Linked DNA regions of Canis lupus familiaris. The protein of the gene in region 2 purifies or fractionates together with the protein of the main gene of each other region. This does not show direct contact. Links are inferred from orthologs where the notes say so. Each region holds a gene or a part of one and is shown on either strand. Other genes may lie near its edges.

What was found. The genes of interacting proteins can lie anywhere in the genome.
Region 1: the proteins of UBR2 (region 2) and UBE2B purify together in Homo sapiens (affinity purification with western blotting; 3 studies listed by BioGRID, with this or other methods). This does not show direct contact. The link is inferred for Canis lupus familiaris from reciprocal best matches to the Homo sapiens genes UBR2 and UBE2B.

The regions. Positions count from the first base shown.
Region 1 is NC_049232.1:22,545,964-22,549,483, forward strand, and holds part of UBE2B (ubiquitin-conjugating enzyme E2 B), read left to right. Parts: intron 1-1,154; coding exon 1,155-1,243; intron 1,244-2,835; coding exon 2,836-2,964; 3' UTR 2,965-3,520. UniProt on the Homo sapiens protein: E2 ubiquitin-conjugating enzyme that accepts ubiquitin from the ubiquitin-activating enzyme E1 and transfers it to a E3 ubiquitin-protein ligase. In vitro catalyzes 'Lys-11'-, as well as 'Lys-48'- and 'Lys-63'-linked polyubiquitination.
Region 2 is NC_049233.1:11,452,374-11,455,893, forward strand, and holds part of UBR2 (E3 ubiquitin-protein ligase UBR2), read left to right. Parts: intron 1-1,820; coding exon 1,821-1,930; intron 1,931-2,040; coding exon 2,041-2,121; intron 2,122-2,446; coding exon 2,447-2,625; intron 2,626-3,480; coding exon 3,481-3,520. UniProt on the Homo sapiens protein: E3 ubiquitin-protein ligase which is a component of the N-end rule pathway.

The sequences.
Region 1 (3,520 bases), on a different chromosome or scaffold from region 2:
TCCCGGTGCATGGAGCCTGCTTCTCCCTCTGCCTGTGTCTCTGCCTCTCTCTCTCTCTCTGTGACTATCATGAATAAATAAATAAAATCTTTAAAAAAAAAAAAAAAAAGAAATGACAGTATTTAGATATAATTTGCCTCCTCTTCCCCCCAAAAGCCTTACTTAGTTGTGTCTTTAGGTAGAGGATCTGGCTTGCTCCGTGAAACTTTCCAAAGTTTGAAAGTATAACATTTAAATGCATTTATTCTTTGTCAACACAGCAGTTATGGAAATTTGTCATATAGACAGAGTCCCACAAGCAGGTAAAAAAATTTATTCAGTTTCAGAGGGAGGAGAACCTTCCAAATATTAAAGACTTAAAATCTATTAATCACTTGATTTTTAGTTTATTTTTTGAGTATGAAAGGAATGCATATCGTAAAAACAAATCCTGAAATACAAGAATCCTTTTATTTACAGAGAGCCAGTACTTATATTCTGGCATTTAGTCTTACAGATGTTTTGTGACTACACAAAATGTCAAAATAGTTACGTGGTTCAAATGAAAATATTTAAATATTTTGTAAAAAAAAAGGACATCCTCTAAAAATGGAATCTTAGGTGTAATGCATTGTGGAGGTCTTTCTGCATTAGTTAACAGAAGGTAGATATGTATCATTTCTCTTGGCTACATTGCTGTTGGTTATGTGATATGAATGTACTATTATTTAGCCAGTCACTTCTTTATGAACCACAAGGTAGTTTCTAATTTTATACTCTTATAAACAGTATTACAGTGAACTTCCTATAAATAAAACTTCGTATGTTCACACTTACTTGTTTTAGAAGTAATTTCTGGGAATGTAATTATGATGTTAAAAAATAATTTTTTTTTCCGGAGCTTTATTTAAGGAATTTAGAAATAGGGGATTTAAAAAGATTGTATAGAAGATGGGTATTTGAAAAAATTTAATTGTAGCAAAGCCTCCTGACAAAAAGATGCAAAATAAGAGACCTTAGTTATAACAGTGGTTTTTCTGTGAGACAAGAGGGTTTGGTAAATAATGTTCAAAACTTCTGACTGGGCCAAGCATTCTGTTTGTGGCAAAGATTTCTCTTTAACTGTTAAATATGATAAAGTCAATATGTAACCAATTTTAGTATTGTCTTTACAGTGTATGCTGATGGTAGCATATGTTTAGATATCCTTCAGAATCGATGGAGTCCAACATATGATGTATCTTCTATCTTAACATCAATTCAGGTAAGTGTATGTTAGGTTGCATCATGAATTTTCAAAATTCTGTGGGATAGTCAGCTTCTTTAGGAGTCAGCTTCTTTAGGAGCAGTCTAAAGACCACATGAGCAAACTTTGCTTCCTAGCACCCATGTAACCAATATCACAGTTTAGATAATCCCATGATTTTCAGACAGCTGGTCTGCTTTTCTGTCTCTCTTTCTCTCTCTTTTTTTTTTTTTTAGGTTTTTATTTTATTTATTCATGAGAAATAGAGAGAGGCAGAGGGAGAAGCAGGCTCCATACAGGGAGCCCGATGCGGGACTCGATCCTGGAACCCCAGGATCATGCCCCGAGCCAAAGGTGGATTGCTCAACCACTGAGCCACCCAGACATCCCTGGCCTGCCTTTCTCTTAGTGATCACATTGGATCAAACCTACAGTCATTTTCCTGGTCCTTGTGTAAATCAAGTGTTCTCACAGGTCAAGTATTATTTATGACCATCAAGGATAGCTAGAGGATGTGGAGAAGGAAAACTCTTCTTGGAAATAAAGATGATTGCTTAGAAAAACCATAGTGACCTCAGGAAACTGCCAAGTGCAGAGAAGCATTAAGTATGTTACCCCATCCAAGAAATCCTTTTTTAAAAACAGATAGTGTAACCATTTGCCAAACCAGTCTGGCAGATTATTTCAGAGTTGACCCTGAATGACAGTTTTAGAAGTAAAGTGAGGGATGTTTTAGTTTATGTGGGTGTAAAAGGAGCAGAAGTCAAATTTTGGTTTGTGATATTTTTAAAACTTTTTCTGTTGTATTTCTGCTTTAATTCAAGTCATTGTATAAACATTTTGAACTTCCCTATTTCATTCTCTTGCTGCTAGGTGTATATATTTTCTATATTAAAGGAAACAAGATTCCCTACCCAGCTTACTATCAGACATTTGCAAAGTAAACCATAAAAATAAAGTTTAACTTTGGAAAATGTTAGTTGCTGTGCTATTTCCAAGTATTGTATATTATTATACAATAATTAATATTATACAACTAACTAATGTTAGTTGCTGTGCTATTTCCAGATATTGTATATTAACCAAATCAAGCTGTTTATTTCCTGGCTAATGCTTAAGTATGTTAAAGAAGAATATTCTGGGGCATCCTGGGTGGCTCAGCGGTTTAGCACCACCTTCTGCCCAGGGTGTGATTCTGGATACTCGGGATTGAGTCGCACGTCGGGCTCTCTTCATGCAGCCTGCTTCTCCCTCTGCCCCTCTCTCTCTCCCTCTCTCTCTCTCTCTCTCTCTCTTTCTGTGTCTCTCATGAATAAATAAATCTTAAATATATATATATATATTCTTTTCCAATTTCCTTGAAATTAGAGGTCTGCAGTTGAGTACTGTGTTTTGGAAGCGTCAGTTCTTTAGCAGCAGGAAATTATTAAATTGATCAAGCCATTTCTGAAAGTATTTAAGACCTAAAAATACAGAAGATATACTAATATCTGCCATTTCTTTCCTGAGTAATTTGTTCTTTTATACAACCTCTATGCTCCATATCTGACCCATGTTAATGTAAAGAGCAATTCAACTAATCCTTTTTTCCCTTTTCTCTTTCCTTTCAGTCTCTGCTGGATGAACCGAATCCAAACAGTCCAGCCAATAGCCAGGCAGCACAGCTTTATCAGGAAAACAAACGAGAATATGAGAAAAGAGTTTCGGCCATTGTTGAACAAAGCTGGAATGATTCATAATAGACAACTGGTCTGTTAATTTTTTTCATCATTGTTGTGTATAATTTACCTCTCAGTAGAAAGGCTAACAAATTTTAAGTGCCACAGGTTTTAAGGATTCTGCAGAAAAAAAAAGTCCTTCAGTTTAGAACCTACAAAAGCTTGTGTATCTTGATTAATGTACTTTTTATTGCATGGTGTGAACTAAGTTATTGCTTACATAAATTTGTAATATATCCTGTTTGTATTTTTTTCCAAGTGTATAATGTTGGTGTGGAGTTTTCATGACAGAATAATACACATTTTGTAAATCTGTACTTTTTTCAAATATTGAATGCCTTATTTTTGAATTCTTTAGATTTTTAAATTGGAGAAAAGCACTTAAAGTTTTTTATATATGAATATTACATGTAAAGCTGTTAAAATACATAACTTCAGTGCAAGAGACTTTGTCACTTATTTCCTTATCTGTTTAGGAGGGGTTAATAAGTCTCTAGCTCTCCATCAATTGATAGTAGTTTCATTTCCAATTTCAAAAGAACAGATTTATATTTTATCAAGAAATTCTTCAAATTTG
Region 2 (3,520 bases):
ATATAAAGTAATGTGATTTTTTTTAAGAAGGCCAGAAGACTTTTCTTTTAGCTTTTTATTGTTAAAAATTTTAAACACAGGCAAATGTTGGTACAGGAAACATCCATATACCTACCACCTAGACTTAGTAGTTAGTATTTTGCTATATTTTCTTTAATATTTGCACACTTTTTTAAAGCATTTGTTTCAGCCATCATATTTCATCTCTAAGAAAAGCCTTTCATATTTCATCTCTAAAGAAAAGCCTTTCCTCTCTTGATTTTCAGAATAAGCATTTGGTCTAATAGTTGCCTTCAGGGGTTACAACCATGAGGCTTCTTTGTTCACTTAGGATTGTTGTGCTTTGCTTTTTAATATTACTCTTGGGTTTTCATTTACTCCATTTTTTATAGTCACATATGATCAAGGTTCCTTTAAAAAAAAAAAAAAAGATTCTTTTTGATGCTCAAATTGCCAGTTTTGGTCAGTGGGAATCTGTTCAGTTGGCTTCCCTGCCCTTTTGACCCTAGCCCGTTAGTATTTGAGCACACCTTACTTTCTGGCACAAAAGATGCCCCAGACTCATCTTATACTTTCCCTGCCCCAGACCTGCAATCCACCATTTGCTCAGATATTTAAATGAATTTATACTAGGAGTTTCAGCAGGTGGTGTAATGGATAGTAATACCCATTATAGGTATTAAACTATAATTTCATCCACGCATCTCTCTATAACATCAGATTCTCTTTGTCTCTCTCTTTCTTTCAGCAATCATTTTCTCTAGAACTTTAGATCTGAACTTTAGATCTGAAAGAATATTAAAGATCACATAGTTCAATCTCTTGCCCTCTTAGGAATATTTTGCCCAAATGGCAGCACTTAAACCAAGAAAGTCAATAACTGGACATTTTTTACTATAAAACTAAATTAGCAAAAAAAAAAAAAAACTAAATTAGCTAACATTTAGATTAAGTGTACTCTTGATGTGGACTTATATGTCTTATATGTCTTTTCCTCAAATAAAGAAATAACTTACAGAAGAAGAAATGCATTTTATTTTAAATCTAGGTTTTATTAAAGGGCCAAAACAAGGGGCACCTGGGTGGCTCAGTTGATTAAGCATCTGCCTTCAGCTCAGATCACGATCCCAGGGTCCTGAGATCTAGCCCCATGTGGAGCTCTCTGCTCAGCTGGGAGTCTGCTTCTCCCCATCCCTCTGCCTGCTGCTCCCCCTGCTTGTGTTTGCTCTCTCTGTCAAATAAATTAATTAAAACCTTAAAAAAAAACAAAAACAGGCCAGGGTAGCCCGGGTGGCGCAGCCATTTAGTGCCGCCTGCAGCCCAGGGTGTGATCCTGGAGACCCCGGATCGAGTCCCACGTCAAGCTCCCTGCATAGAGCCTGCTTCTCCCTCTGCCTGTGTCTCTGCCTCTCTCTCTCTGCCTCTCATAAATAAATAAATAAAATCTTTAAAAAAAAAAAAAGGGCCAAAATAAGTTGATGTATTTTTACACACACATCCTTGTAATCTAGTTCATTTCTTACACTTTTTAAAATCTCAGACCTTTTAGCTGGGTTTTTATTTAATTGCTAAAGGCTATGTTAAAATAATCACTTGGTGTAAGATGTCCATTTTGAATGATTAAAGCATTCTAGTTGTTAACTTGTTTTTAAGTACAGATACATCACATTCTTAAGAAGTATTGAAAATCTCTAATAAGTAGAGCTGTAAATAAATGATGGGCAGATGATGTTATAAGCAACCTTATCTTCTTGTGCATAGTAATAAACACTGTGAAATATTAGTTGTTATTGTGCCTTTTTTTTTTTTTTCTGCCTTAGAACCTGGTGAAGCACCAAACAACTCCCCTAGCATATTAGCTATGCTGGAAACACTACAGAATGCTCCCTACCTAGATGTCCACAAAGATATGATTAGATGGATATTAAAGGTACAATTTCTGGCATCACTTTGCTTTTCATGAGAAACATTCAGTGTTTGTTATCTTTAAATTTTGATAATATTTCATAGCTTCCAAATAACTGACACTTTTTGTCATAGACTTTTAATGCTATTAAGAAGATAAGAGAGAGTTCATCCACCAGTCCTGTGGCAGAGACTGAAGGAACCATAATGGAAGAGGTATAAAAAGCAAATGAGGTCCTACTGAAGGATTGTAGCAAGTTCACTATAAACAACTAAACTTATCTGTAATAAGTTGGTAGTTGATGTTATTCACAAAAAATGTGAATTCCAAACAATGTGCCACTTTTTATTTGTTGTAGCAATTTTTTTTTCTGTGTCTATCCTTTTTTTTAAAACAGGCTAAAAAAATCTTTTCTCTTGTTTAGATAAGTAAGATTATTAAATAGTTTTTAAGTAGTAGTTACAATCAAGACAGTTCTGCTTTGGGGCAAAAATGTTAATTTGGTATCTAATGGTCTAATTAAATGAAGCATACTTTCAGAGTTCAAGAGACAAAGACAAAGCTGAGAGGAAGAGAAAAGCTGAGATTGCCAGACTGCGCAGAGAAAAGATCATGGCCCAGATGTCTGAGATGCAGCGGCACTTTATTGATGAGAACAAAGAACTCTTTCAGCAGACATTAGAACTAGATGCCTCTACTTCTGCTGTTCTTGATAATAGGTAAAAAAATAATTAACATTTTTTTATCTCTTGACCATTGGTTCTCAAATGGGAAAGATGTTGGGTTTTATTCCTTATAAGTCATTTTTAATCTGAAAGTAATTTAGAAGGATTGGTAGGCGAATAGGAATTACCCATAGAATTTTAGTTTTTAGTATACATTTATGAGTATATCTCCAACTATAGATAAGATACCATGTGTATGCTCAAAATGATGTGTCACACAGAACACCCTTGACATTCAAAGAATGAGTGCACAGGGGCGCCTGGGTGGCTCAGTTCGTTGAGCATCCAACTCTTTTTTTTTTTTTTTAAGATTTTATTTATTTATTCATGAGAGACACAGAGAGAGAGGGGCAGAGACACAGGCAGAGGGAGAAGCAGGCTCCACGCAGAGAGCCCGACACAGGACTTGATCCTGGGTCTCCAGGATCAGGCCCTGGGCTGAAGGCGGCACTAAACTGCTGAGCCACCCGGGCTGCCCAGAGCATCCAACTCTTGATTTTGGCTCAGGTTATGATCCCAGGGTCGTGAGATCGAGCCCTGCGTCAGGAATCTCCTTGAGATTCTCTCCCTCTGTACCTCGCACGCTCTCTTTCTCTCTCAAATAAATAAATCTTAAGAAAAAAAAGAATGAGTGTACTAGGCTCAGTTAACTGAGTGTCTGGCTTCTGTGTTGCATATTGGATTGCTGTGAGGGTTATAGGAGATGGTTTCATATATATGAGTGACTTCTACCAGTTCAAATCATCAAAACCACACATGTTTAATATGTACATACCTAAAGTCTACTGCTTTATGATTAAATGGAAACTTCTTAGGCTCATTCATGAAACTTGTATTCTTTTATTGCAGCCCTATGGTTTCAAATATGGCACTTACAGCTTTGGGGCCA